6 linked regions of the Canis lupus familiaris genome follow. The protein of the gene in region 4 purifies or fractionates together with the protein of the main gene of each other region. This does not show direct contact. Links are inferred from orthologs where the notes say so. Each region holds a gene or a part of one and is shown on either strand. Other genes may lie near its edges.

Region 1 (4,811 bases), on a different chromosome or scaffold from region 4:
GTAACTTACATTTTCCATTCTGGCTGTATTCTTTCTCCCACATACTACTTCATCATGTTTGGTGGTGATGTCTTTTCCTTTTCCAATAAAACCCTTTTTGGGAGTAGGAACTGGTTTTGCTAAAGGCGATTAAGACAAGCCAAGTTTATGTGAAGGTAGCAAAGACTAAATTCCTGCATTCAATGTTGTCTGAAAAGATATTTGAATCTAATAGCAAATTACCAAACAAGATTCAAAGAGTAAATATAAAATACAAGGATCCATTGGAAAACTTAGTCTTCCTATGTCCCTGTCCTACCCTCACCCCAGAAAATAAAAGCATTGATACCTGGTATGTAGGGATCATCACGAGTGTCTTGCCAGTCAACCTCATCCTCAGAGCTATCACTGTCTTCGTAAGGATGCACTTTTCGATAATTTTCAAAGGAAATGGAAACTTAAAAGGCAAAAACAAATGAAGATTTATTTAGGAACACATTACAAGTATTTCCTGCCACCCAATGGAGGTTTCACAATAAGGTCACAGTACCTTTGCTATCTCCATTGAATTTTTTTTCTTCACGCCTAAGCTGTGCGTCATATTCTCTGTCAAATTCCATCTGTAGCATCTGAGCCAGCATTAGGTCACTAGAAGTGTCAATGTTTTCTCCGGTAATAAATGGTCCTTCAGAGGCACTGTTCAAAATAAGGCAACATAAATTAATATAATGTGCTTGCATATATACATGCTACCAATTATGGGACTAGAGAGTGCCTTTTCACTGTTACAAATTGTACTGAAGAAAAAAGGGAAAAATTCGATCAAATCATTCATCTTCTGTCCAGCTGCCCTTTGACTAATGCCAGGAGTTTGTAAAAGCACCAAATAGGATTAAGAGAGCTACACAAAAATGCTAAAAGGGCCATAATAGAGATGCCTGGGTGGTTCAGTGATTGAGCATCTGCCTTCAGCTCAGGGCATGATCCCGGAGTCCTGGGATCAAGTCCCACACTGGGCTCCCTAAAGGGAGCCTGCTTCTCCCTCTGCCTATGTCTTTGCCTCTCTCTCTGTTTCTCTCTTGAATAAATAAATAAAATCTTAAAAAAAATAAAAATAAATAAAAGGGCCATAATAAATCCAAACTGAAACTCAAAAATCTTCTTCTGTGTTCTGGAAATATAACACATATATGAGAAGATAAAACAGCAATATTTAATCAAACCTGTATCCTACTTCACTATTTGCTAATTTGGAGATCATGTGGTTCAACTGTTGCAATAACTAAAATCCAGAGAAACACAGTGGTTTGCCCATGATAGTACCGACAACTAATCACAGAATCAGGACCAAAACTCAAATATCAGTGAACTCCTGGTATGATGCTCTTTCTACTGCATTGATTTTCAAAATGTGTTTCTTAATCATTGGTCAAGACAACCACTAATCAAATCTTAAAACTTTCATAACAAGCTGCTGGACAAAATAGATTCTTTATGAATTTTACTTACGTAACTTCAGGAAAAGCAGCAGCTTCTTCTTTCAACTGCAATTCTTTAGCCAGCTGTTCACTCATTACATCAGCCAAGGAACAAGATATTGTGTTTTGAGGGGTAGCCCATGGACACTATTTAAAGAAAAGGAGGGGTTAATTCATAAAAATGAAAGTACCTTCTAAACTTGAAAATAAAGCTATCTTTAGAGAATTAAAAAAATCAACCCAAAATAATTACCTACTTACAGAAATCATCTTCAAAGTCATTGGGATGCCTAGTATCTGTCAGTTAAGTGTCTGACTCTTGATTTCGGCTCAAGTTGTCATCTTAGGGTCACGGGATTGAGCCCTGCATCAGGCTCCATGCTCAGCGAGGAGTCTGCCTGAGATATCTCTCCCTCTCCTTCTGCCCCCTACCCCCGGCTCAGACGGGTGTTCTTGTGCTCTCTCTCTCTCTCTCTCTCAATTAAAGTAAATCTTAAAAAAAAAAAAAAAAAAAAAGGTAAAAATATCTCCCAGCTCAAATCTAATCAAAGATAAATGGAAATTAAATCTGTCAAAGCACTTTCTAACCTGTTCAGTAGGTGTGTCTTTTTAGTTGAGGAGGAACATCAGGCCATTATAGCATTACCCCACTATCTGATGAGTACATGCAACCACCCTTGTTCTGATTGCATGCTCACCAAATAATCTTCTGCTTTTAATCTGGCTTCCCATGAAGACTCTCTCTCTCTCTCTCTTTTTCCAAAGGTTTTATTTTTAAATAATCTCTATACCCAACATGGGGCTGGAATTCACTACCCAGAGACCAAGAGTCGCATGCTCTACGGACTGAGCCAGCCAGATGCCCCTGTAGATTCTCTTTTAGGAAAAGACTACACCAACTAGTACAGTTCAAAGCCCACTTAGAAGTTACACCTCATTCTAATTTAAGGAGTAAGTCTTCTACATGTGTAAAGTGTATGTCAGCTGCTCTCAAGACATCTGGGGATACGTTGAAACAAAAATAACAATGACAAACAGTAAAATCTACATTTCTGAACTTTAGAAGCTAAGAAACAGTCTTGAAATAATACTACTACAACAAAGCAATATTCTGTGAGGCTCTTCTTGGACGATCAGCCAGTTGGACTTCCTCAATGGCATAACTATCTCAGCCCTCTTGAAATACAAACCGTAAGTTTATTTCACAATTCCTAATTTTTGAGGGGGCAAGCTTTCCTTAGCAGCAGGAAATGATTACACTTGTGAGTAAGACCACTAATATTGAATAATATGTCTAAATCTCTTGAACTGACCTAGCTTTCTCTATCTTCCTTCTGAGATTCTACTCCAAGGTATCACCCTCCCATTACCAGGCTACTCTATTAAGAGAGTCCTAACTCATCTTTCTGCTTCCAGTCCTGCTTGTTTCCATTTTCCACACCATATATAGCACACCAGCTTTTCTAAAATGCAGATTTGATTAGTTCAGTTTCCCTATTTAAAGCTCTTTGTTTTCATGTTTCCTACTACCTTTAGGATAAAGTCCAAACCCATTCCTTAACTACTGCTGGTGTCTAATTTAGAATTTAGAATATAGCATATGATATCTGTTTTAGCCACAAAACTTTTTAAAATTTTTTTATTTATTTGAGATAGAGTGAATAGGAGCTGGGGGTGGGGGGCAGAGGGAGAGGGAGAAATAGACTCCCTGCCGAGCAGACAGCCCGATAAGGGTCTTGATCCCAGGACCCAGGATCGTGATCTGAGCCGAAGGCAGATGCTTAACTGGCTGAGCCACCCAGACACCCTGTTTTAGCCATGGAACTTTTAAATCAAGTTTAGGTACTCTAGCTGGCCTACCACTCTTGTTCAGGTTCTATAGCATTGAAGTTCAGGAATTTAATTGGTTCAGGTTGTTAGGATGAAGCTCAAATGATAACTATACTTATGACTAAGTGAATCAGAATCAAGTTTTATCTAACCTCATCTGGAGATTAATGAGATGCACCCAGCCCCCAGAACATACCTATACTAGTCTACTGCAGAATTATTCCAGCCTCACATAAAGCCAGATGTGGGGAATACAAGGAAGGCTTTCTCAAGGTCTGATGTGACTTTCATTCACTCAGATCTTCAGGTGCAAATGAGCAGTCTCCTGGTGAGGATTTTGAGGTCTAGAATCTTGACGTTCTCTGTAATCCAGAGAATACAGCTTTCTCTTGGCCAATGACTCCTGCTGACTTCTGAATCCTCTAGAAAGAATACATAATGCTGCGTCCTAACCTAGAAATGTCTGGTCTGATCAGTTTCAAAGTCCAGAATCCAAAAGGCAAATGGCTGTATTCTCTAACTCAGATCTGTCAACCACATTTTGCAATGACAACAGAGTAACAGACAAGACTGGAATATTCACTATATTTGAGTCATTTGCCTAATATGTATAATTTGCATAGATTATTTGAGACACATAACCACTATGTAGTTATCAATATCTCTATCTATCATCCCCATTTTATAGATTGAGAAACTGAGACACAGAAGGGTTTTTTTTTTTTTTTAACTCAAAATAACACTGTAGATGGAAGTGTTACGATTTGAACCAAGGCAGTAGAACTTAAGAGGCTGCCCTCAGCATTTTGCTATACTGCTTCCCTAATCACCTAGTTCTGGAATGTGAGAAACAAATCACTATACTGCCTGCAGTATGAAATCCAAATTCCTCAACAAGGATTGTCTTTCAAAATTTGACCCACTTTATCTTTCTAGTCTCAGCCCTTATGTACCCTATGCGTAAATAACAATAATTATATGCTAATTATGGCATACTTTCACCCCTCCATGCCTTCATACATTTTTTTAAAAGATTTTATTTATTCATAGAGACAGAGAGAGAGAGAGGCAGAGACACAGGCAGAGGGAGAAGCAGGCATCATACAGAGAGCCTGATGTGGGACTCGATCTAGGGTCCCCAGGATCATGCCCTGGGCTGCAGGCAGAGCTAAACCACTGTGCCACCGGGGCTGCCCTTCATATATTTCAACTAAAACATATCACAAAAGTCTTCTATTAAATCAGACATTAGGGATGCCTGGAAGGCTCAGTTGGTTAAGTATCTGCCTTTGGCTCAGGTCATGATCCTGAGGTCCTAGGTTGGAACCCCTAGTCAGGCTCCCTCTCCCTCTGCCCCTCCCTCCACTCATGCTCTTTGCTTGCTTGCTCTCTCTCTCTCAAAAAAATAAAATCTCAAAAAAAAAAAATCAGACATTAAAGAGATTTGCAAAAATACAATACTAAACCACTATTTTTGTTTGTTTTTTTTTTTAGAAAATGGGGGGGTTACAAATGAAAATTATA
Region 2 (4,811 bases), on a different chromosome or scaffold from region 4:
ATGTTAATAAGATGGTAGTATTTCTCCTTATGACTCAAATTTAATATGCCTTTTTCTGTTTCATCTTTTCTAATTTAAAAGATATTTATTCCCTCATTCGGTTGTCAAAAAGTGATTGGGTGGATACCCAGTCCTCAGCTGTGACGGATAAGAATGTATCCTATCCTGTAGATTTACTAGGGGTGGGAAAAGGTAGATAGCCACAGGACCCAGATCTTCCATAGTTAAGAAAGACTTCTTATTTTTTTCTAGATTGATTTGGAATCAAATCCACAGAACAGAAGTCCTGAGTCGCGTCCTGGTGTTGTTTATCCCAATGCCAAATTTCATCGCAAAGATAATCTCAACCCGAGACACATAAATCTTCCTCTCCCTGCTCCTCATGCACAGTATGCAATTCCCAATCGTCATTTTCATCCCCTTCCACAGCTACCCAGACCACCGTTTCCAATTCCGCAGCAGCACGCCTTGTTAAATCAGCAGCAGAATAATTTGCCTGAACAACCAAATCAGATGCCACCCCAACCGAATCAGGTAGTCCCACCACAGAATCCGTTGAACCAGCTGACTCAGCAGCCACCTCCTCAACTTTCTCCTGCCTATCAGGCAGGACCCAACAGTGCTTTCTTTAATAGTGCAGTTTCTCACCGACCACAGTCCCCTCCTGCAGAACCTGTGATTCCTGAGCAGCAGCCCCCTCCCATGCTGCAAGAAGGCCACAGTCCTCTGCGAGCCATTGCGCAGCCTGGCCCCCTCCTTCCTTCACATCTGAATAACTTCACTGATGAGAACCCCCCAGGATTGCCTATAGGGGAGGCTTTAGGTAAGTTCTCCTGTCACTGCTGGATGTGACGAATTCAGAGAAAATTTCCTTAAATTGACATGTACTGTGCAATATTAATTTGGGTCAGGATTGATTCATTTCTTCAAATCATGGCAGCAGAATTCAGTTGCTTTGTCTAACAGAATCTTGTTCCAAACACTATATAATATTAAGTATCTAGTTGATCCAACTTACAGGATTACATGGGTAAGAAAGAATCATCATCACCATTACCATGACTTTAGTTACTGGCAAATTTAGAAAACATTTGCTTTCTCCAAAACCCAAGTTGTAGGCATGTCTTTTGTCTCTGTGAAGAAAATCTGGTTGAAAAAACTTGATTACTTGAAACCCCAAATTAACCTGAAACCCAAATGCATGAAAACTTAAATTCTTCCCCGATATTTTGCAGATCGTATGCACGGGAGTGTAGCTCTAGAAACACTAAGACAGCAGCAAGTGCGGTTACAGCAGTGGAATGAGCATCACGCCTATCTCAGTCAGGGCAGTATTCCATACCCACACCATCACCATCCTCATCCTCACCTCCAGCATCTTCCTCAGCCACCCATCGGATTACATCAGCCACCAGTGAGAGCAGACTGGAAGCTCCCCAGCAGTGCTGAAGATGAAGCAGAAACAACAGACTCAAGGTATTTCTGCAGGGTAAAAATCACCTTGAAACATGACTCCCTCCCCCTCCCCACACACCCTGTTTTCTTTCTTCAGTGTTGTTCTTTTAGCCTCAAGCTGGAATACTGTCCCAAAGAAATTGGATGCTGGCCTTCCAGGCACATGCTACACAGTTCTATCGATTGACTCTAAAATATAGAGAACCCATTTAGAAGGAACTGGTGCAAATCTGGGCATGGACAATCTGTTGTGGATTGAAAATTAATGTGTCCCCTTGCTTTGTGGCTCTCCTGAAAAAGAAATATACCCTCACTGTGAGCATTTCTTTCATACTCAGTAGTAATACAAGAAATGAATGGACACAGAAGTAAATTATTGGTTGAAAGTTAAAAATTATAGATTTATCATCAATTTTCCCCATTTGCACAGAATTCTATCTTCTTTTAACTACAGATGTTCATGAGTGTTCAGTCCTTATTCTAAACTTGTTTTTATAGCCGTGTCATTTGAATGGAATGAAGTATTTCCTAATCCCTGTGAACAAATTCCACCTTGATGGTGACTTTATAACAGCCATTTATCAAAGACATGTAGAGACAAGGACAATTGTTTTTAATGCCAAGGGAAAAGAAGGAAATCAGGTACTTGGGCATATTTAGTATCTTCAACTCAGCATTTATTGAGTGTTACTGCTCACTTTTTTTTTTTTTAAAGATATTTAAATTTTATTTGAGAGAGAGCCCATGCACACAAGTGAGGGGAGAAGCAGAGGGAGAGGGACAAGCAGACTCCTTGCTGAGTATGGAGCCTGACTCAGAGCTTGATCTCCCAACCCTGAGATCCTGAGCTGAAACCAAGAGTTGAATGCCCAACCGACTGAGCCTCCCAGGCACCCTTTAATGCTCACTTTTGGGATTAATTGATATTAGTTCTAAAATGAAATATTCTGATTTTGTCTGTAAAAATTAACACGTAGTTGACTAAAGCTCTCCTTGATATGACAGAGCTTTTGTTTTCTTTTCCTCATATTTCATCATCTTTATGTAGGTTTCAAGACTTAATCAGAGAACTATCTAATCGTGATCAAAGTGAAACACGGGAACTAGCTGAAATGCCACCACCTCAATCAAGACTTTTGCAATATAGACAAATTCAGACTAGGAGCCCACCAGCAGTCCCATCTCCCCCATCCAGCACAGACCACAGTAGCCACTTTTCTAACTTTAATGACAACAGCAGAGACATTGAAGTAGCCAACAACCCAGCATTTCCACAGCGCCTACCGCCCCAGATATTCAGCTCGCCTTTCTCGTTGCCATCTGAACACCTTGCCCCTCCTCCCTTGAAATACCTGGCACCTGATGGAGCATGGACTTTTGCTAACTTACAACAGAATCACCTAATGGGGCCAGGTTTTCCCTATGGCCTACCTCCCTTGCCTCACAGGCCACCGCAGAACCCTTTTGTACAAATACAGAATCATCAACATGCTATTGGTCAAGAGCCATTTCACCCATTGTCATCTCGAACAGTATCTTCTTCTTCGCTCCCTAGCTTAGAAGAGGTAAATGTCTTTCTTTTCCTTTTGGGATTAAATTCTTATGAAAAATACTAGTATTTATTGATTTGATGAGAAGAGAATTAAGTAGTCTTTTGAAGGTAATCTTTTCCTGGAATTTATTTTAATTTCCACTCTTATTGTGGTATTTCAGGCTTTATAGAATGGTCATTATTGTTGAAACATGCCCCTTAGAGTTTTTTATTGCTGTTTTGGAATATTTAACATCTGACTGACCTGAGGGGGCTCTTCCTTCAAGCAGCTTTTTGTTCTATCTAATCTGGGCAAATGGTTTCTAGTGATTCATCTTTTTACTTAAGTTACATTTGTCAGTTATAAATGTGTTAATTAAGCTTTCCATAGATGTTGGCTATCTCAGCCAATGGTGAATTCCTAGTGCTATGCTTCCTCCTGGCATCATCCTGGTGCTTTCTTAGCCTGGGGCAGTTGATACACTGCAATACTGATATCTGAGAGTCAGAATGGACAGTGTATTTAACCTAGAATTGACTCGGCTCAACTAGGCATTTTAAGGTAAACTGGATTTTTATCTTAAAATATGTAGGTATTTCTAAAGAGCATCTCTATGGACCTTCACTGATAAGAAAATCTCCGTAATTCCAGGTTATAAAACTTCCAAAATGGTACCATTGGTGTAAACTATAAAAATGTTGTCTAGCTGGTCCCCTTAAACTTGCAGTGATTAAAGATGAGAATGTAGAAAGTTGATTGGGGTCATTATCAATCACAAATGTCTTTTTATTAAAACAGGATAAACATTTCCAATTTTGATACATGAAAGATATCTTTTTGACATTAGCTTCATTTTGGCAGTTCCTTGTTGATTTCTAAAGGCTTTAAAAATGATTCACGTGTTTAGCAAATTTTCTGCTGTACATGCTGATTAAAAAGTCATTTCATAGGGATGGTTCTTTATCTTATTTGTAGAGTTTTGGAGGTAATTTGTTCACATTGTTCCAGTAGACATTGACTGGCTCATCTCATATAATAATTCTCATGAAAACAGCTTAATTGCCATCTTAGGCTTCTGATATCAGTTGTAAGCATAAGATGAATTGGTATCTGTATATATGTATTGTAGGGATCTAGAAATTTGGAACCATACTTTTAAAGATTTGACACATATCTGACATTATTTCAAGTTAATAATGGGAGGGCTTAACAGCTAAATAGTAAGGTCATTTTCAGTTAAGTGATGTTTTCTGTGTTTATGTATTTCTGATAAAATTCATATAGCTTCATTATTTCAACCCTTTGAAAGTACTATTTAGTGGGTTTTAATATATGTACAATATTGTGTCACAGTCACCACTCTATAATTCCAAGACATTTTGTCAAACTGAGAGAAATGCCATAACCGTTAAGTAGTTGCTCCCTAATTCTCCCTGCCTCCAGCCCTTGACAACCAATAATCTACTTTCTGTCTCTATGGAGACATTTCATATAACTGGAATCATTCAAAATGTGGCCTTTTGAGTCTGGCTTCTTTCCTTTAGCATAATGTTTTCGAAGCTCACGCACTTTGTAGCATATGTTAGTACTTCATTTCTGTTTATGGCTGAGTAATACTCCATTGTATGGATATACTACAATTTGTTTATCTCTTCATCAATTGATGGATATTTGGGTTGTTTCCATTATTTTGCTGTTATGAATAATGCAGCTGAACAAGTTTTTGTGGGAAAGGATATGTTTTGTTCTCTTGGTTAACTTTGTACCTGAAATGACCTTGAGTCATGTGGTAACTCTATGTTTGACTTTTTGAGGAGCTGCCAA
Region 3 (5,517 bases), on a different chromosome or scaffold from region 4:
GCTGTGTTTTTTGCCGCTGGAAAGGGAAACAGAATCTTTGGACTGGGGACACTCATTACAGTGCAGGGTGAGATATCATTCTGGAGAAAGAGGAGGAAGTCCGTCCATGGTAACTGCTAAGATTATAGTCTTCTCCTTCACTTAGCCCGCTGGACAAAGGCAAGAGGCAGGAAGATATTTTTGTGCAGAAGCTCAAGAGACAGGAAGACGGTGACAGGGTGTCTTAGGAAATGGCCCAAGCAGGTATCTCTGCAGTGAACACCACAGCTGACAAGTCCCAACTGACATTTGAACAGATGGGAAAATATCATCAGATAGTACAGAAAAGCCCTGAAACGAAAGCCAAAAATCCCAAACATAAAGTAGCCTGAAGCAAACTGTGACTTCAAAGAAAGAAAACCCCCCCAAACTTAGGAACGTCCTCAGAGATAAGGGGAGGTACAACAACAAGCTACGAACCAAAACCAAACCAGGATGTGAGAAGGCTGGAACAGAGGGGGCAGGAGGACAGTCTCAGGGACATGCATGGAGCACAGCTCAACAATACGGCCCACATAAAGTTGAGAACGCCTTCCAGAAAGTGGACAACCCAAGCAAAATCAGTGTCCATCCAGAAGGCCCAACAGTTGAATTCCACAAAAAGAAGGTGAATGGGAAGAGATCAAAGCAATAAATTAAAAATGTCTAGTGTTGAAGAACGGGACTTTCCACGTAAGAGGGGCCTAAAAAGTAGGCAGGACACTACATGGAAACAGACTCCGAGGGACATCACTGCGCTGCGTGTTGTGCATTTCAGGGAGGAAAATCCTTTAAGCTTCAGAACAGAAATATCCACGTATAGAGGCCGAAAAATCAAAATGTCAGAAGCCTTCAACAATAACCCTCAAGACAGAAGTCAGAGCAAAATGGTGTCTCTCACCCAGACACACGGGGAGAAACAGCATTTTCGACATTCTTGTTCTCGAAACTTTATCTCCCCTTCATCTGCCCCCGGGCAACGCCTTAAGGAAGCGTTCCACCACAATGAGGGTAGCCAAGTCCAGAGAAAGGGACACTGGTGTGTCCTGGAAACCAAGGACCCTATGAAGGGGTCGGGGTTGGGGACCTGCAAGAAGAATACAGCAGGTGGGAGCCTGGAGGATGTATATCCAAGAAGAGATTAATAAAATACTGAATTTCATCAGACAAAAAAAAGGACTGTTTCTTGAAAGCTGATTTAGACAACTGGTCAATTTGGGACCGTAATGATAAATACACAGAAAAAGCAAACAAAAAACAAGACTCATAAGAACACCAGGAGAAACAAAATCTGATGACGTGGAAAAGGTAAAGTAATCGCAGCACACCATCTGCCTAGCTGTGAATGGCCCCATGGAGTCAGAACATGAACACTCAAACCTGGACTAAGCAAGGTAAAGGTGCACGGGCTTCAGGCGGCCGTGTGTGCACGCAGGGAAGGTAAAAGGAAGCTACAGACATCACATTCCTTCTCAGGGTTAAGTGAGGAGACAAGGCGTGCAACAAGAGGAAAGCCATGAACCAGCAGGCGAGCGCATGTGCCGCTCAGAGTTGGAGGCAGAGACCAAAGGAGCCCACCAAGAGGGGGACGTGTCTGCTCTGCAGGAGAATTGACAGGACTGGGGAAGGCAATTCAGGGTCTCCTTGAAAGCCTTCCTACATTTAGTATTCCTTTAAAAAACTACTTGAAGATACAACCTTGATTTGAAATAAAATTAGGTCTTAATTTTAAAATCCACATGAATGCCAATAAAATGTATTAAGGAAGAGCACACATGGTCAATGTACTGTTATGAAATTAATTGCAGCCATCAAGATGACACGTCTGGAACAACACGCCTGGCTCGTCTCTAGCAGTACTTAAGGAACATTAGCATGCCTGGTCAAACAGCCCACTAGGGATTGTCACTTGTAAAATGTCTGATTTTAGAAACACACACACACACACAAAAAGAACTTAGGCACAAAATAACTCGTGTACTCAATTTCTAAAAGGTCATAGAGATGAAGACCGTTTGATTTTCTTGGTCTTCAAATGTCGAACCTTGTGGTGCTTTTATAACTAAAAGGAAAAGGCACTGTGACACGCTGATGCTCTCTGGGTTTCCACTTGGTCAAAAGCTTTTCAATATGCGAGGAGCTGGACCTCTTGCCAGCAGCTTGGCAACTAAACTCAGTTGTGCGCTGTTTCTTCCAGGAGCTTAGTTATTTCTTCCTAATGAGAAAGGGCAAAGCTTCCTCTGAGCGCGGGCCCTGGGGGGGGGGGGAGGTGGGGGGTGGATGTAGGCTCAATGGACCGCACCCAACAGAAGCACCCTTCGGGACTCCGAGGAGTGTGTTCTCTGCTCACACCACCCTGGCAAATGCGCAAGTTTTGTTTGGGAAGCATGAGTGCAGAACCTATGGCATCGAGTCGCGAGTCACGCGGGTAAGTCACCCAGGGGGACGCTGCAATCCCGGGAGAGCCTGCCCTAACCGGGCCGTCCTGGAGGACAGAGAGGGCGCGAAGGCCTGCAGGACGGGAGCGGCGGGACAGTCAGGGCCGGGCCAGCCGCTCGACCTCCCGCCCGTCGCGTCCCCTTGGCAGAAGCTCGTCTTCCCGATCACAACCCCCGGTTCTGGCGAGACTCCTGCTCCGAATCCAGTCCGAGAACCGAGAACCACGCCGGGTGGAACCGCAGCGCCGCCTCCTTCCTATCTCCGTACCTGGGGCCGTGTGTGCGCTGCTGCCCTCAAAACACTGCAGCCCGCGCATCCCCGCGGGCGAATCCCCCGTGCCAGGCCACGAGCTGCTTCGGGAAGAGAAAAACCAGCGCGCGTCCTCTGCCCTCTGCGCCCCGGGGCCGAGCGCGGCCGCAGGCTTCCCCGCCAGGTCGGGGCGGCCGGGGTCGCGGGGCTCGGGGTCCAGCGGGGGCCAAGGACGCGGGCGCACAAGGGCGAGGGGCCGCGCTCCCGGCCACGACCTGCGGGTGCGAGCGCGCCGAGGTCCCGGGGCGGGGAAGGGGCGCCCGGGCGGCGCACCCCGGGCCCGCCCCGCCCCCCCCCCCCCCCCCCCCGGCCCAGGCCGGAGCCCGAGTCCCCGGGGACGGCCGCCGCGCTCTCCGGTTCGCGCACAGGCCCCGGCCCACGTGACCCGCGGCGGCCAATGGGGCCGAAGCCCCCGCACCAGCGAGACGCGGGCGGCCCGGGGCTAGAGCGGCCCGCCCGGCCGCCCGCCGCAGCCCCCGGCCCCGCTCCGGCGCTGCCCGCTCGGCGCTGCCGCCATCTTCCCGGAGGAGAGCGCGGAGGCGGAGGCGGAGGCTCCCGGCCGCGGCCGCGCCGCACCCCGGCCGCCCGTCTTCCCCTCGGCGGCCCCCCGGCTCGCGCTAAGCAAACGCCCTCCCTCCCACGCCGCGCACCCGCGAGGCAAGGACCCGCGCTACCTGTTCCGCTCTGGTCGGCGCCAGGAAGCCGAGCTCATAAGGTGGGCGCCGTGGCGGAGCAGGGACGAGCCGCCATCTTGGTAAAGGAGAAGAGGCTCCGCTTGACCTCCCCCCGCCCCCAGCCTCTATATGGCCAACCGCCGTGGGAGGGGCGCGGCGCCTGCGCAGAGGCGGCCAGCGCGGACGGGCCTGCGCTCTCGGACGCGGCGGGCGGGGGCGGGGGCGGGGAGGAGGCCGGGTCGCGCCGGGGCAGGGAGCGCGGGCGAGGGGGCGGGCCGACGTGGTGACGCCACGCGCGCGGGGCGGGGCGGGCCGACGTGATGACGCCACGCGCGCGGGGCGGGGTGGGCGGCGGGCTCTGGGCGGTCCGCGGCGCGGTCGGTGGGCGCCTGCTTCTCCGCTCGTCTGGTCGGCGGTGAGTGGCTCGCCGGGGCCCCGCCGTCGCGGGGTGGGGGGGTGCGGGCTGTAGGCGGGCGCGGCGGAGGCCGGCGGGCGGAGGGCGGCGGGCGGAGGGCGGCGGGCGGAGGGGGCGCGGGCGGCGGCCCGCTGGGTGTGGGGGAGGGGCGCAGGCCCGGGCTCTCCTCTGCCCCCGGGTCCGTGCTCCGCCCCGGGGCCCCTCCTCCGCCTCGGGGGCTCTCCTGCGCCTCGGGGTCCCTCCTCCGCCCCGGGGCCCCTCCTCCGCCCCGAGGGCTCTCCTGCGCCTCGGGCCCCTCCTCCGCCCCGGGGGTCCCTGGTCCGCCCGGGATCCTGGTTCGCTGCAGGCCCCTCCTCCGCCCCGGAGGTCTCTCCTCCGTCCGGGGTCCTCGTCCTCCCGCGGGCCCCTCCTCCGCCCCGGGGGTCCTCCTCCGCCCCGGGGGTCCTCCTCCGCCCCGGGGGCCCTCCTCCACCCCGGGGGCCCCTCCTCCCCGGGATCCTGGTCCGTCCCTGCCCCTGCCCCTCCCCCTCCTCCGCCCCGGGGTCCTCGTCGCTCGCGGCGGGACGTGGCCGGAAGAACCCGGCGCGGCAGGCCTGGGCGGCGGGGGAGGGGAACCGGGCGGGGCCTGCGGGGTCCGGCGAGTGCTCCGGCGCGGGGTCTCGTCCCGGTTGCGGCCTCGCCCCGCGCGCCCCGCCCCGCGCTGCTCTGGGGCTGGGGTCCGGCCCTGCCCTGGGCGCACCGGGCACGTGCCCCGCGCCGGGACGAGCTGCTCCGACGCGGCCGTGCGGGGTCCCCGGGAGGTGCGGCTGCGGCCCGGGCGGGCCGTGTGTGTCCGCTCCCCGCAGGCCGCCTGTCGCTCCCGGGGCCCGGCTCGGCCCGGACGCTGGCCGGGAGCACTCGGCCGCCCAGGGGATCCTCATGCTTTTCCCCTTTTGCATCCTGACCTGCCCCCTGGCACTGCAGCCCGGGTGACGACCGGGGCTGCCGGGTCAGGTCAGATGTGCACGGACTGCTTTGGAGCTGGCAGGGCGACCCAGGGAAGCGGGGGGCGCGGCTGCCCTCGTCCTCGCTCATGAGTGCGCTTCAGGCTCCTTTCTAGACCGACTCCGAAGGCGTAAGCTAAGAGAAGGGCGCACCAGAACCTGCTGCAGCATTGGGCCGAAGGCCTTTTACCTTCTGTGTTTACACCACGTCGTGCTGGTGGTCACACGTGTCGGTGTCTGTGACGCGCTGCCCCGGTAGCCGCTGAGCTCACGCTGTGTAGGAGTCGTGCCTCCCTCAGATCCAGAGAATCTGAAGGTCGAGTGTCTCAAGAGCTTTGGATTAGGGATAACGGACTCTCGGGGTCCTCTTCAGCGTCGCTGTGTGGGTTGGGGCCGTGTGTGTAAATGCAGGAATAACACGACCGTGATGGGTAGTTAGGGCAATCCGCTGGTAGAAATACCACTAGCGAAATACATTTACACGTATTGCCAAGAATCTAGTTTTATCCATCTGTTTTTCATCTTTTGTTTTGGAAAAGTTGCCTTGTTCTGTGTGAATTGGGATGGGAGTGTTGCCCTGTGGAAGAAGGAAGCCATGCTCAGGAAAAGACAGACGTCTAAATTGCCAGCGTCTAGAATGAGCACAACCTGAAATGAAAGAATGAAGTTTTTGTTTGAC
Region 4 (5,431 bases):
CACCACTGCAGATCCCAGTCTTGGAAAGCTGTTACCTTGCTCTTCCTGGATCTCCACTGCTAGCCGCATGGTTAGCAGGTATTCAGAAAGCTCAAATCCCAGCAGTGACAGATCAGGAAATCACAACATTACCAGGACTCAGAGAGTACAGCCAGGTGTTCAGCCTTAACTGTAGCCCACACTCACCCAGATCTTGATGCTGGGGCCCGTGGCAGCACATAGCCAGTATCGGTTAGGACTGAAGCATAGGGCATTGATGATGTCTCCACCATCAAGTGTATAAAGGTGCTTGCCTTCATTGAGATCCCACAGCATGGCTTGGCCATCCTGGGAAGACAGGAAAGGTGAGTCAGGGCAATATGAAACCCATTGCAGTTGTTAATCTTAACTGCCTCAAAAATTTTTTTTATTACTTAACAGTCCCCCTTCCCCCGCAAACTTCCCAAAAACTAATGAATGATTCAAATACCAATATTTATCTCTGAATGCCTTTCCTTTAATGCAGGGCACCTCACCAACCCTACGATGTCTCTGACAACTTCTAAATAAATCAGTTCTGAAAAGAACAATCAGTTCTGAAAAGAACAGTTTCAAGAAACCAGCTTTACTGAAAACAATCTTTTTCTTTAAAACAGTATGCCTTATCTATGTCATTTCCAGGAAGCAATCTTAAGATATTTATTCTTGGTTGCTACCTCAATATCTTAAATATCTTTTTAAAACAGTCCCTCACTGAGTAGTAAACTCCCAGTTTCTGAATACCTTCCCTCCAGAAGCACAGAGAGATCCATCCGGAGAGACGGTCACGGTGTTCAAGTAGCCCGTGTGGCCGATGTGATTGGTCTTCAGCTTGCAGTTTGCCAGGTTCCATACCTAGGTTTGGTAAGGTGGAGGGTAAAAGGTGAAGAATCTGGCTCTGAACCAACTGGGGTCAGGACTGCTCAGGACAAAAAAGGCACGATTTACTTAATTTAAAAGCATTCCAGGACAGGGTGACCATTTTTCATTCTATCAGTAACAAAAATGTTAAAAAGAATTTGTCTTGGTCACCTAAGGGACAATCAAGATTAAAAAAGGTAACAAATGTTCTATGTGTTGCTTTATGAGGGACACTGGGCTTCATGAGCTACTTCAGACCAAATATCAAAAACCACTGGCCTGTACTTAGAAGAGTGCAACAGGAAAAGTGAACCGAGGGACAAAGCTTTCAAACTTAGATCCTATGACCACCTGAGAGGCAGTGGGAGAACATTCTGGCTGGTGAAGGCCCTATACCCTGGCTCCAAGCTCACCTTGACCAACTTGTCCCAACCACAGGAGACAATGATGGGATTGCTGCTATTAGGTGAAAATCGGACACAAGACACCCACTCTGAATGGCTCTCGTCCTGCAGAGGATGGAAAAGAAATTAGAGAAAGTATCCTGTCTCCATGAAACCAGAACCTCACCTTCCCTCAGTTACATGGAAGTGTTCACAACCCTAGAACCCAAACCATTAATATCAAGAGCTCCCTTTATAGAGTCCAGGCCAGGCTTAAAATCACCTTAAAGCCAAGGTTAAGAAGGGTGGGAGAGAAGTTTCTACATGTGCCTTCAGTTACCTGTACGGTGTACTTGCATACACCCAGGGTATTCCATAGCTTGATAGTTTTATCTCGCGACCCAGAAACAATTTGCCGGTTGTCGGAGGAGAAGGCCACACTCAGCACATCCTTGGTATGTCCTACAAATCTGCGTGTGGTGGTACCCCTGAGGAGGAGGACGTGGTCAGTCTCTAGATGCCTCAAACACTCTTCCACATCAGAATGTTTCCCTGGTCTGTTCCTGTCTCACTGGAGCTGCCATTACTCACATGACCCTGGACATAGGTCTGATCACAACAGGCCCATGGTTGAGCATATATGAGAGTATCCCTTCAGAATTGCAGGACATGTCCTCACTCCCACGTAGGGATTGGCTGACAATGTCATCTGTCATCACTGGGATGCTCATTATGCCCGGCCATCCAAGTACTGAGCTCCCAAGATAAAACATGTTCAACACTTGCCTACTCCCAACCACAGTATGTGGTAAAACTCAACCAGCCCACTCCTCTAACAATTCTGCATAACTAATTAAACCAGCAAGGATAGAAGCCAAACAATCCCAACTACCTTTTCTAGGTACTTTCTTGCCTTAAGTACCCACAATGAACCTCAATCTCCCTTGGAAACCACCGCCCAACAGCATCTACCTCATTTTTGCCTAGCCTTTGCCCAGTGTCCCAGAGTTAAATGAGCAGCTACTTGCGTTGTGAGATCCCAGAGACGAAGGGTTCCATCCCAGGAGCCTGAGAGGGCAAACTGGCCATCTGAGGAGATGACCACGTCACTAACAAAGTGGGAATGACCCCGAAGAGCACGCTGTGGGATGCCATAGTTAGTCTCATCCCTAGTCAGCTTCCACATGATGATCGTCTTATCTAAGGAGAGGTAAAAAAGAAAACTCAGTGAGTTAACAGCCCACTTGCTGACCTACTGGATAATCCAGGATCCCTCAGTGTCATCGGTGGACTTAAAAGGTAACAAATTAAGGACTCTCAAGGGGGAAGAACTACAGGGTGTGAGCTGTTACTAGTCAAGGCCAAGGTGATTGGCTATTCAAAAAAGATTCAAGTAGAACTAAGCAATGCCATGAAAATTAAACTCTGGTGTGCAGAACTTTAGCATATTATGGATGCCCCTTTCTGACAGATCAATTCAATTCTTGGAGTCTGATCTGAGGTCTAAAGCATAAACACTGCTGCTTGGCTGTGGGATTCCTACAATCACTAATGGCTGCATTCGGAAAAATTGCTTTACATCCTACCTGACTGGATGCTTTCACTGAAACGTGTTAGTAACAACAAGTTTTCCAATTACTCTCCAAACATGATCCTGGCCTCAGACTATTTTTTAATAGTGTGGGGGCCAGCAAAAGGCACAAGAAGCCTCCGAATGCTGCCAGGTTCAGTGAATGAAAAGAAACGAGGGGAGTTCTTGCAGTCTATCCACTAAGCACGGGCCGGGCGTAAGCTCAGAAACAGCCTCTGGTTCTCAGCACAGGTACTCAGATGGCATGTTGGCATCATCACCGCTCCGCCCGACCCCGTATCTCCTGAGCACACTCAGCTACACACCTACACACATCTGCGAGAAGATGGGCAAGAAATAAAACCCCAACCCTGCAATCCTCCTGGCGACCACGAGCTGACCTAGGTCTCCGTCTCTGCCAAGCGGGGATGGTTCGCGGGTTTATCCAAGCGGAGGCCGTGGCCCGGGTCCGCATGCCCCAACTCACACCCGGACGGAGTATTCCAAGTCGCCAAGCGACACGCGCAACCCACTTATCCCTCAATCCTTTGCCCCGCACCTTAGCCCGTACCTCGAGAAGCAGACAGTATCATGTCTGGGAATTGGGGAGTGGTGGCGATCTGAGTCACCCAGCCATTATGGCCCTTGAGGGTGCCACGAAGTGTCATCTGCTCAGTCATAGCGGCGGCGAGAGCGAGTGTCGCCGCGGCGACAAGGATGGAGATGGATAGTTCAGAAGGACTAGCAGCACAGCCGCTCCCGACAAGGCCCTCCAGAGGAAAAGAAGGAAAAGGTCCCCGCCGGAACCGGAAATACCCTCCCGTTCGAGCAAAAATGGCGGCCCCCGTTATTCACTCCTGCCTAAGATGGCGGCGCCTCGTAAGTCAAAAGGCGAGATGAAATGGCAAAACTTTATGGTCGCCTCCGCCATGCAACATAATTTGGCAGTGCCATGCCAAGTCATTCTGAAACCAACTCCACCAGGTGTTTAAAAAGGCCCCTCAAACATCCACTGAGGCGTGATGTATAAGAAGACGAAGAGGGGACGGGCACAGACAGCATGTTCCCATAAGGAACGTCCGGCGCCTTCCCTGCCCCCACGTGGCACAGCGCGAGCCCTGCCTTTTCCGCTTGGTGGTCTGGAGGGCCAGGCTGAGGGAGCTCAATTTCGAGGTGAGAACTGCCAGTAACGGTAAGGAATATGAAAAATATGGTATTCAGTTTTTGAAATACACTGTACTTAGGTGAACCAGTAAACTCTGACTGATTTCCTTCGCAGAGGGCAACTCCTCCCTGGAGAGGTTTTTGCTTTGAGGGAATTGGCTGAGGCACTCCCTGTCCGGAAGGACCTAGTCCAGGCAGAAGTAAACACAGGAACAGGTTACGGAGCGGAAAACCGGGGAGGAACGAACAATCGGCCCGTGGGCTGCATGTCCGTCCCCGGCTCCCACCTGGGCAGGAGCGCGGAGAGCCGACGCAGAGACAGAGACCCCGAGAGCAAAGGCCTCCGGGTTCTGACTTACGGGTCTCGAGTGAAAGCGGGCTCTGAGCCTCACCGCCTCTCAGGCAGGTCTGCGGGTCTGGGGAGTCCAGACGTGCCCCTAAGGAGGTTCCACCTGCCTGGGACACCGTGGATCAGGGTTCCCAGGTTGCCTACCGGCCTCCTGTTTAGCCGCATGGTACGTGAATATGTAGTGCCTCCTTGATAACTGAGAGACGATGCTGGCAGGCAGCGCTCCTGTCACATATTTTTTGAAGGGGGAGAGGTACCAGGGTGGTACCATTCGCTATCATCTAAGCAAAATAAGGGGGGGGGGAATTATACATAATAAGTATTTATTTTCTGTTTGTAACATGTATTAATTTTAGTTTCATATCTGTGAAATGAGGTTGGAAATAATAGTACCCACCCAAAATGGTGTTGAAAAGAGTAAATGAGTTATGGTAGGTAAAGGGCCCAGAACAATGCTTGGCAGAATAAATGCAGGCAAACTTAGCACCTCTTGGGTACCAGGCCCTGTTTTAGGTCTTGAGGGATACAGCTGTGAGCAAGAGGGGGGTGAGGACCAGGTTTTTTTGGAGTTTACATTTGATGGAGTGAGGGGGAAGGAAATTGGAGCAAAGAGACGAAGAAGGAGACAGCCCTGTGGATACACGGGAGGATAAGGTTCTGGGGGCAGGGATGCTCAGTGCAAAACATCCTGGAGGTGTTGGAAGTGCTGAAAACCGAACAGTGAGATAGGCGTGAGGGGCAGCTGACAGAGGGCCCGCAGTCTGGGGGAAAGAACATGGCTCCTCAGGGTGGTTGCTGTTCTGAGTAGGCTTCAAGGGCTCCAGTTGCGAAGGTCATTTAAATGCCTCCGTAGCACCCCCAATTAGCTGTCTTTTTCTTCTAACACTAAACTCGAAGTCGACCCCAACCCTGACCTGTTTTGGTAATGGGAGACCCTTACTTTCACCCACACCAGTATCCAGTTCACTGTTCATAGCTCGGGTCGTGCCAGTGCCCTGGGCGGTTGGGACAAATAGAGAGGTGAGAGATTTCCACGCTGTGGAAATGCACAGAGCAAACACTCCCCTGTGTTGGCCTGTACATGCA
Region 5 (4,811 bases), on a different chromosome or scaffold from region 4:
AGTGCAGGAGCTAAGCTTGGATCCCAGATGAGCTGGACTTTAGTGACAAGAGCCTGGAACAGAGGAAAGGGAGTGTCCAGGGTGGTCGTGCTAAGTTGTGGGTGGGGGTCCACATATGAGCATGCAAGTTGGGGAGATAGGTTCAGGCCAAGCATTTTAAAGGCCAGGCCAGAGCCCAGCCTTGTTGTCCACTCACCTGACTGGATCTGTACAAATGGAAGTAAAGATTGCCATCCGTGTGAACCCCACACAGGCAGCCCCAGGCAGCATCTAACATGCACAGACATTTTGTTTCATCTGCAGAGTTGTGTGTGTATTTGCCACTATCCCCACCAGGCCCACTTCATAGCCACTGGGCCCCTGTATGCATTTGACTTGGCCATCACGGATTTAAAGCCAAGAACAAACCTGATTGATACTTTGCTTAGGAGTACAGATTAACTTTGACTCATGTACCAAGATGTACAGTCTGTGGATCCTAGGGTGCGCACCTGCCAAGTATTCTCCACCAGCTGAGCATTCAGTCCAGCTCGTAACTGGTGGCCCCATCAGGGACTCTTTATCATCCTCCTCCCTCTCCTTAGTAACCTGGCACGGTGTTGCCAGATACAGCAGCAGGTTCTTTAGCTGTGAGAAAGAAAACCCAGGGTTGGCATGCACTCCAGCTGGGGGCAGGCAGCAGTCCCCGATGCTCTCCAATAGGTCAAGTCCTTAAAATGAGTTTGATATTTAAAGTCCTGAAGAGCAGACTTTTAGTAAAGTAAGTTCACTCAAAGTGGAATTGCGTTATTGCTACTAGATTGTTCTGGAGGTGCTACTTTAGAACACTGTCAGAACTCTGAAAGAGTTATATTGATCTGGTGAGTTTCCCTAAGATATCCTAAGATCAAAAAAGATTTTCCAAATTGTCTGGACTTGCACTGTCTTTCTGTGGGTACTGAGGAGCACTGGGACCATGTTTAACTCTGAAACGTGTGAAATGGAGAGTTGTTGGTCTTACTTAATCAGAGAATGTTCATTTCCATTTCACCTTAATTCAGGAATAATGTTCCTGGAAACTTAACATGTTGTTTAAAAGACAAAAGTTTTTCTTTCTACCAGCATTAAAAGTTAGAGTGAAGTATGTGGCCATGAGTTAAGACTTGGATTGATTCTCCAGGAGAGCTTTAGAATGCAATAAAATCTAGAGGAAGAGTAGGCATATGCTAACAGCATTTCTATTTTTAGCTGGACTGAACCCAAACATGAATGTCAACAGCATGGACATGACTGGTGGTTTGTCGGTGAAGGACCCGTCCCAGTCCCAGTCACGTCTCCCTCAGTGGACACACCCCAACCCGATGGACAACTTACCCGGTGCTGCTTCTCCCCTCGATCAGAACCCCAGCAAGCATGGTATGTCTAAGCTGGGGTGCCTGTGGCCCAGCCATGCCTGTTCCAACTGCTGACTCTCCAGGTGTAGAGCATACTCATTCTATCACTCCCACTGAGTCTCTTGTCTAAGAATTCGATCACAGAGTGTGTAATCTGGGCTGTGGTCAAACTTTCTGAAACCTCAATCTTCAGGTCTTTGCTATAAACCCAGCCGGAGTTGAAAATACCCCAGGGCAACAAAGAACATTGGTCATAGTCTGCATATTTGTTATTGATACCTGTGTTCTTCAATAAAAAATTTGTCTACTGAGAAAAAAATTTTTCAATAAAATGATGAAACACAATAGAAAATCAAATGCTTAAAAAAAAGAAGCAAAAGTGCTGATAACTAGAGGAGGTGACCTCACTATTAAGCATTAACTTTAGCTCCCAGTTTCCTGATAGCATAAATAGGGAAAATGTAATAGACATATGATTCTTTCTTGATATAAATATTCTAAAAGGAAAAACAAAAATTAATAACCGTTAATTCTACAAGAAAATCCTCACACGCTACCGGGGCACCTTCCTGGCCTTGGCAGGAGAGCATAATCGCCTCTGGCAGGGCGGTCCAGTCCAGAAGATAAGGGCTCTGTGTTCACACACCCAGTGTGTCCTTACAGAGGGAGGGCAGGACACACACAACTGCAAAGTCCATAGCTAACTACAGAGACTCATAAGCTGGCCCAGAATGGCACAGGCCTGCTTTCAATGGTATGGGTTTGTGTTTTATCAAGGTTTCCAACTTGAGAAACTAAAATGGTTCTTAAGGAATTTTGTTTGGTCTTGGAGTGCCTGGATGGCTCAGTGGGTGGAGCATGCGACTCTTGGTCTCAGTTTGTGAGTTTGAGGCCCATGTTGGGGTTGAGATCACTTAAAATCTTAAAAAAATAAAAAGAGGGGGGCCTCAGTGGCTCGGTTAGGCGTCTGCCTTTGGCTCAGGTCAAGATCCCCGGGTCCTGAGATGGAGCCCTACATCAGGCTCCCTGCTCAGCCGGAAGTCTGCTTCTCCCTCTCCCTCTGCCCCTCCCCACTACTCTTGCACTCTCTCGCTCACTCGCGCTCTCTCTCTCAAATAAATAAAATATTTTTTAAAAATAAGTAAAACAATTTCAGTCTTTCACAGATGAAGTTTGGGCTAACCAAAATGGTTACTTATCTTTAGAGAGTGCTGGACAAACCAAGTCTGATGGTTCATGTACCTCTGAAAGGGGCGGGGCCCAGTGCCTAGTAGTGAGGGTCAGGAGCTCCCATGTTCACTCAGCTCTTTGTTTCCCACTGTCCCCACAGGTGCTATCCCTGGAGGTCTAAGCATTGGGCCTCCAGCTAAGTCCTCCATCGACGACTCCTATGGCCGGTACGATTTAATCCAGAACAGTGAGTCACCAGCCAGTCCTCCTGTAGCTGTTCCCCATAGCTGGTCACGTGCCAAATCTGACAGTGATAAAATCTCCAATGGCTCCAGCATCAACTGGCCCCCAGGTAAGAGTGTGCAACGCTTCTGTGCAGCAGCAGATCAGAGCTGCCCCAAGCCTGAGGAGAGCAACTCTGCTCCAGAGAAGCCAGGATCTGAACTAAGAGTCCTAGAAACACGAACCCCATAGCTTTGGCTTTTCCCCTAGAAATCTGTTTGTCACACAGATTTGGGAAGTGGTTAGCACCCAGCGTTTTTCTGTAGTCCCTCAGTTCAGTGAGGGGAGTGGAAGGAGAATGGATGCTGTATCTCATCTGGCCAGACTGTTTCTAGACTCCACACCATCTGAACACTCTCTTAATGTGGCCACTATAATCCCTACTTCTAGCTTGTTCCAAAGGGTGGGTGATTTACTGAAAGAAAGTGAAGGATGTGTCTTCTATTCTAACTAGCAGATTATAAGAATTTCCATGAATTATCATGAAGGAGTGTGAAGATATTGTATTACTCATGTTTTGATTTCCATTTTGTTTGGAATTTTCCAGAATTCCATCCTGGAGTTCCATGGAAAGGACTTCAGAATATTGATCCCGAGAACGACCCCGACGTCACTCCTGGAAGCGTCCCCACTGGGCCCACCATTAATACCACCATACAGGACGTCAACCGCTACCTCCTCAAGAGTGGAGGTGAGGAGAGCGGGACTCGACCTGCTTGGCACAGAAGGCCTCCTACGTGCGTTCAGAGGCGCCAGGGTGGTGTGCGGGCTGTGGGGCAGGGATGCTGTGAGACACATCTGTGAGCACTTCTCACCATCTGGAGATAGTGCTAATGGTGAAAATGGAGATTGATTTGCTGGATTTATGAACACATCCTTTCTGAGCCCTGTGCCAGTACATCCCGATATTAACCATTAAGCTTCTCAGTGAACAGGTTCCCACTTAAAATTTATTGAAACTGCAGGCAGATTGACCCCTTACTTACTTCTCCACCCCAATCTGTTTCCTTCCACAACGTCTGGTAAAAAAGTCTGAAATCCGTCCCCAGCACTGTGTTCCTGGCACAATCGTGGTGCTAGATCTGGGCTCACCCTGTGTCAGCCTTGGACCCAGCAGGAGGAAGTGAGGAGCTAGCTGTGATGATGGAGGCATACATGCCGCTGTCAGGCATGATGCTGAGAAGGGTAGACGGAGCAGCTCTGGAAGTGCCCACCCTGATACAGTGGCAGTGCCGACATCCAAATAGTGGGAGGGAATAGCTAGGCTGCCACAGAGGCTCATCCCCAGTAAGACCACTCGGTCCCAGAATGTTAATTCGGGTTTCCCACTTAAAGTGAGACTGGGAGAGAAAGGTAGGGTTCTTTAAAGTGATAGGCTTCTAGGTGTTGCTGTGGTTTGGGTAGAAAGCCAGCAGAAGTACGGATCATCCTGTTCAATGTTGTGCATGCCTCGCTTCCTAGAGCAGCCCTGCTGTTGGGGACAAAGGAGTGGTACAGGGGACAGGAAGTGGAGCCTGTGTGAGATGCCAGGGGGCAGGGTGAGTCACAAGCAAGCAGTCAGACTCAGCCCCCAGTGCTTGTCCCTGTAAGTGTGGCAGCAGGGTCATGTCACAGCAGGAGTGTCCGTTGGGGTATTTTGAGGATCTTGGGCAGGTGTGAACAGACTGCGCTGACCCAGGTATTGAAAGACCCCAGAAAGAGTTGAGGTTACTCAGCGTAGCACAGAGCTTCCTGCTAGTGCCCTGTGGGTCCTCTAGTGGTCCCCTGGAGCATTGCAGGTGACCTCCACATTTGCACAAGCGTGCCATGATGTGACAAAGGCGGCCTAGAGAAGTAGGTGAATTCTAAGGGCAGGTTGCAAGCAGCTGTCCTCCAGTCCAGCGTGGCTGAGACAGAGATAGGCAGATAGAGGCACTGGTGTCAGGATAAGATGAGAAAGCGCAGTCTCCAGCTCCAAGGTAAAGAGTTAGGCAGCGGTCCAGCCTG
Region 6 (4,811 bases), on a different chromosome or scaffold from region 4:
ATGGAGCCTGCTTCTCCCTCTGCCTGTGTCTCTGCCTCTTTCTCCCTTTATGTCTGTCATGAATAAATAAATAAAATCTTAAAAAAAAAAAAAAAAGAAGAAGAATAAAGTACTACTCATGTATAATTTTTGTAACTAAAAACTAACAATCTGTATTGGTCAAGTATACAAAAAAGGATGGTACATGAATGGTTTTGAATAACAAGCAAAATTATACTAAACTTGTACCTTTAAAAGCATAGGCACATCTCTTATAAGCAAGGATGACTGGACTATCATTCTTGGCTTTGTTATTGTAATTTCAACCTTTTCACCAAGAAAGCACAGCAAATAAAAACAAGTGACAATAAAGGAACACCAAGAACCCATTTAATACATTTTTTAGTCAAAAATCTACAAATTGCTAGTACTTTTAGTTATTAGTTAAAAATTGCTTTTAGGGGATCCCTGGGTGGTGCAGCGGTTTGGCACCTGCCTTTGGCCCAGGGCGCGATCCTGGAGACCCGGGATCGAATCCCACATCGGGCTCCCGGTGCATGGAGCCTGCTTCTCCCTCTGCCTATGTCTCTGCCTCTCTCTCTCTCTCTGTGTGACTATCATAAATAAAATAAAATAAAAAATTGCTTTTAGTCTATCTGATAAGAAAGATGTATACTCAACTGTCTAAAGCAAAAATCACTCTTAAAAAAAAAAAGGTGAAATCAACAGATACATATTTCTAAAAGCTATTTCTAATCAGAGTAATCTGTATTTTCTTTTTTTTTTTAATTTTTATTTATTTATGATAGTCACAGAGAGAGAGAGAGAGAGAGAGAGAGAGAGAGAGGCAGAGACACAGGCAGAGGGAGAAGCAGGCTCCATGCACCGGGAGCCCGATGTGGGATTCGATCCCGGGTCTCCAGGATCGCGACCTGGGCCAAAGGCAGGCGCCAAACCGCTGTGCCACCCAGGGATCCCTAATCTGTATTTTCTAACAAGGAAGTTGCAAGCTGTCATTTATTCTAATTAAATTATTTTTAACAGAAAGCTTTACCAGTTATGGTAGAAGAAAGGAAGGATCTAATCTCAAGTCTGCTGATAATACCTAGTCATGTAACTCTAAGCAAGACTTTTGTCCTCAAGAGCTTTCACTTTCTTCATCTATAAAAGGAGTTAAAACTACGCCATTAACAAAGGTCTTTCCAGATTTAAACACCATTCTATGTGCTCATTGGAAATTAACCTTTTTGAACAGGATGGGATTAAAGGACAATATATGAGGCTCCCTGTACTTCTATTCGTATGTCCCAGGAATACATGAATTTTGCAGTTGTTACTTTATTACCAAACTAAGAATCATCTACAAGAGCACAATAATCTATTTTTCATTTATTTTTAAAAATTCTTTTATCTATGAAGAATCTTTCATCTTGTCATATGACGAGATTACATTTGAAATTTCATAAAGCAGTAAGAATGGGCATATGTAGTAAAATTTTTATGACACTTAAAAACAATTTTCAAATGTTTTAACTAATTGTGACAATTAAAATGAATACAAAAAACTATGACTATCAGAGGATGGTACACATGAATGCCTCCAGAATCCACTGAGAATATTTAATACTACGAGTATTCTTTCTCCAGTGAAGCATGTTTCAAGTAAACCTTACAAAAAAGAATTAAGTTCCTAGAAGTAATTTCAGAAGAACACACCCCATCTAGTCTCCTTGCCAAAAAGAATCAACTGGGAGAATGAGATCTGGCAAGAGAAAATCACTGGAGAAATAATTTAAAAAGCCAAAATCCAAAACTCAGGAGGCCCACAAAATAAGCAAACAAAAAACAATAAATGTGAAACTATTAAATAAATCTAAGCAACTATATAAGCCCTTTGTTCTTAGGTCACTCATACTGTCAAAAGCCATAATATATACCAAGTTATTTTTTTTTTTAAGATTTTATTTATTCATTCATGAGAGACACAGAAAGAGAGAGGCAGAGACATAGGCAAAGGAAGAAGCTCCGTGCAGGGAGCCAGATGTGGAACTCAATCCTGGGACTCCAGGATCATGCCCTGAGCTGAAGGAAGGCAGACGCTTAACCGCTGAGCCCAGGCGTCCCCAAGTTATTATCAATTGTTTATATAAAAATAACACTTAGAGACTTATCTTTTATATGATAGCAAATAATTCCCTGAGTTCTCAATAATTTATTTAGAACACTTTTTTTTTAAGTGTTGGCTTTGAAGTCAGATTGTGTGGGTTCAAACTTTTGGTTCTCTCTGTTACTAGCTACATGCTCACAGACATGATATTTAACCTTTTATGTCTCAATTTCCTCATCTTAAATAGATATAATAACTATCTATCTTACAGGGTTATGAAAATTGTGATAAAATATGTAGTCTTTAACAAAGCTTTAGACATTAATGTTCCATAAACGTTAGTTTTGTCTGCTGAACACTACAGTTCGTGGAAATTTCAAAAGTCAATTCTCAAAAATCCCAAATAACTCATATTCCCAGCATACAATACTGAAATCAGCTAACACTTCTATCCTCAAAAAAACTCTCATTTTCCAAAATGTTACCTATTTAACATACTAAATGGTACTTAAATACCAGATTTTGTTACTATCATAAAACAATTTTCTATTTTATTAAAAAATCAGTATGAAAAAAAAATCAGTATGTATTATGTACAATCTCAGTTCTAAGTATTTTTTACACACATTACCTACTCTAAAGTCAAAGTGTGTTTATTAATTCTAAAGTAAATCATTTAAGTTTTTTTACTAAATCTGTAAATAAGCACTGCTATTAACACAGTAATATTTTAAGAACTACTGGGAATTGTGTACAACATAATCCACTATATTTTTGTTTTTTATTTTTATTTTATTTTTTTTTAAGATTTTATTTATTCATGAGAATACACAGAGAGGAGAGAGAGAGAGGCAGAGACACAGGCAGAGGGAGAAGCAGGCTCCATGCAGGGAGCCTGACATGGGACTCGATCCTCGGTCTCCAGGATTCCAGGATTACGCCCTGGGCTGAAGGCGGCGCTAAAACGCTGAGCCACCCGGGCTGCCCTATTTTTGTTTTTTAAAGATTTTATTCATTTATGAGAAAGAGAGAGAGAGAGAGAGAGAGGCGCAGAGACACAGGCAGAGGGAAGAGCAGGCTCCATGCAAGGAGCCCAATGTGGGACTCGATCCCAGGACTCCAGGATCACGCCCTGGGCCGAAGGCAGGCGCCAAACCGCTGAGCCATCCAGGGATCCCCATTTTTGTTTGTTTTTATGTAGGCTCCATACTGAGCATGGAGCTCAATACAGGGCTTGAACTCATGACCCTGAGACCAAGACCTGAGCTGAAAGCAAGAGTTGGACACTTAACTGACTGAATAATCCAGATGCCCTTATTCCCCTACGACTTTTACCTTACCGATTTTTTTGGAATGGTCGAGGCATATTCACAGCAGCAGCATTTGTTTTATAAGATCCTGGTGCATTAAAGCCATTCACAAAACTACCATTGGGAAAGGGAGCCTAAAAGAAAATGCAATGTTTAAAAGCAATTTTTAAAAAAGGGTAAAACCTAGTGTAAAGGTTTAATAAACTCCTGATGAACTAACCTAGGATCAAATTTTTAAGATTTTTTATTTTTAAGTAATCTCTACACCCAACATGAAGTTTGAATTCACAACCCTGAGATCAAGAGTCACATGCTCCACCAACTAAAGCCAACAAGGCTCCCCCTCAGTTTCTTTTACAATGCAAAAATAATCTTAAGCATTTTACTTACTCACTTTTGTAACAGTCACTTGTTCAAGTATCACTTGATTTACAGAAAAAGGAATCATTAAGTCATTACTTAATAAATGTACTTTATTTTTATTTATTTTAAATAAATTATTAAATATAATAAAGTATTTTATTGTACTTTATTTTAACATTTCTCTCTGAAAAAGTTTAAAGCATTTTAAAACTAATCAGGATTTATCCAATCTCTTATTTTAATTTATTCAGCAAAATCTAAAGAATAAAATAGGAACCAAATAGCTCAACTCTTAGTCACATGGGAATTAGATATCCTTGATATCCTTATCTCTACCTTAAAAACCAGAAAGAAATCAGTATCAACACAAAACACAATAATAAAAAGTGATTACTCTAGCTGATTTCTTAAAATTTCAGCTTGAATGAAAAATTTTATAATTCTCTAAGGATCTCACTTACCAGTGGTGTTTCAAAGTAAGGTGCAGGATTTGGTGACCAAGACTGAGGCACAATACTATAGACCGAGTATTGTTGGTGAGGATTATATACAGGCTGCATAAAAACTGGTGAGGCATACTGTGCTTGAGTTTGAATGGGCTGACTATACATGCTAGAATCCATTAATCGATAACCATTCTTAGCAAAAAATGTATTGATGGCTTTTATCCTTGCCTAGAAGCAAGAAGAACACATTATAATGAAGAACTCAGTGTATATTTTCACAAGTATATTTAATTTACATTTTAAACATATTTAACCAACCATATTATTTTTGCCTACTTATAGAGTCAGTGGAGCAAAAGGAAAGGATAGCTTTAAGCTATTTAAAAAACTTTTGCATGGCAAGTACAACAATGAACAACGTAAAACTACAAAAGTCAAGATAGTCAAAAGAACTGCAACTTATGACAAAGGGGCTAATATTCATAGTATACAAATTCTAAAAACAGAGATAAAAAATGTATTAGAGAAATGAACAGAGTTCACAGAGAAAAGGAAGGCAAATGACTCTTAAACATATGAAAAGATGCTAAATCTTGCTTGTAGGAG

What was found.
Region 1: the proteins of RACK1 (region 4) and RIOK3 purify together in Homo sapiens (affinity purification with mass spectrometry; 3 studies listed by BioGRID and IntAct, counting the BioPlex papers as one, with this or other methods). This does not show direct contact. The link is inferred for Canis lupus familiaris from reciprocal best matches to the Homo sapiens genes RACK1 and RIOK3.
Region 2: the proteins of RACK1 (region 4) and HELZ purify together in Homo sapiens (affinity purification with mass spectrometry; 3 studies listed by BioGRID and IntAct, counting the BioPlex papers as one, with this or other methods). This does not show direct contact. The link is inferred for Canis lupus familiaris from reciprocal best matches to the Homo sapiens genes RACK1 and HELZ.
Region 3: the proteins of RACK1 (region 4) and HDLBP purify together in Homo sapiens (affinity purification with mass spectrometry; 3 studies listed by BioGRID and IntAct, with this or other methods). This does not show direct contact. The link is inferred for Canis lupus familiaris from reciprocal best matches to the Homo sapiens genes RACK1 and HDLBP.
Region 5: the proteins of RACK1 (region 4) and TNRC6C purify together in Homo sapiens (affinity purification with mass spectrometry; 3 studies listed by BioGRID and IntAct, counting the BioPlex papers as one, with this or other methods). This does not show direct contact. The link is inferred for Canis lupus familiaris from reciprocal best matches to the Homo sapiens genes RACK1 and TNRC6C.
Region 6: the proteins of RACK1 (region 4) and LARP4 purify together in Homo sapiens (affinity purification with mass spectrometry; 3 studies listed by BioGRID and IntAct, counting the BioPlex papers as one, with this or other methods). This does not show direct contact. The link is inferred for Canis lupus familiaris from reciprocal best matches to the Homo sapiens genes RACK1 and LARP4.

Annotation. Positions count from the first base shown.
Region 1 is NC_049228.1:64,905,509-64,910,319, forward strand, and holds part of RIOK3 (serine/threonine-protein kinase RIO3), read right to left. Parts: intron 3,710-4,811; exon of another isoform or gene 3,484-3,709; intron 1,906-3,483; exon of another isoform or gene 1,740-1,905; coding exon of another isoform or gene 1,719-1,739; intron 1,605-1,718; coding exon 1,489-1,604; intron 676-1,488; coding exon 530-675; intron 437-529; coding exon 329-436; intron 120-328; coding exon 10-119; intron 1-9.
Region 2 is NC_049230.1:13,536,391-13,541,201, reverse strand, and holds part of HELZ (probable helicase with zinc finger domain), read left to right. Parts: intron 1-252; coding exon 253-823; intron 824-1,235; coding exon 1,236-1,476; intron 1,477-2,503; coding exon 2,504-3,020; intron 3,021-4,811. UniProt on the Homo sapiens protein: May act as a helicase that plays a role in RNA metabolism in multiple tissues and organs within the developing embryo.
Region 3 is NC_049246.1:51,351,275-51,356,791, forward strand, and holds the start of HDLBP (vigilin), read right to left. Parts: upstream 3,594-5,517; 5' UTR 3,479-3,593; coding exon 3,441-3,478; exon of another isoform or gene 3,337-3,440; intron 2,748-3,336; exon of another isoform or gene 2,725-2,747; intron 1-2,724. UniProt on the Homo sapiens protein: Appears to play a role in cell sterol metabolism. It may function to protect cells from over-accumulation of cholesterol.
Region 4 is NC_049232.1:610,800-616,230, forward strand, and holds the start of RACK1 (receptor of activated protein C kinase 1), read right to left. Parts: upstream 3,633-5,431; 5' UTR 3,513-3,632; coding exon 3,404-3,512; intron 3,120-3,403; exon of another isoform or gene 3,052-3,119; intron 2,463-3,051; coding exon 2,291-2,462; intron 1,989-2,290; exon of another isoform or gene 1,910-1,988; intron 1,751-1,909; coding exon 1,603-1,750; intron 1,389-1,602; coding exon 1,293-1,388; intron 874-1,292; coding exon 763-873; intron 328-762; coding exon 187-327; intron 1-186. UniProt on the Homo sapiens protein: Scaffolding protein involved in the recruitment, assembly and/or regulation of a variety of signaling molecules. Interacts with a wide variety of proteins and plays a role in many cellular processes.
Region 5 is NC_049230.1:3,938,133-3,942,943, reverse strand, and holds part of TNRC6C (trinucleotide repeat-containing gene 6C protein), read left to right. Parts: intron 1-1,227; coding exon 1,228-1,395; intron 1,396-2,703; coding exon 2,704-2,895; intron 2,896-3,372; coding exon 3,373-3,516; intron 3,517-4,811. UniProt on the Homo sapiens protein: Plays a role in RNA-mediated gene silencing by micro-RNAs (miRNAs). Required for miRNA-dependent translational repression of complementary mRNAs by argonaute family proteins.
Region 6 is NC_049248.1:42,379,199-42,384,009, reverse strand, and holds part of LARP4 (la-related protein 4), read right to left. Parts: intron 4,434-4,811; coding exon 4,221-4,433; intron 3,531-4,220; coding exon 3,427-3,530; intron 1-3,426. UniProt on the Homo sapiens protein: RNA binding protein that binds to the poly-A tract of mRNA molecules. Associates with the 40S ribosomal subunit and with polysomes. Plays a role in the regulation of mRNA translation.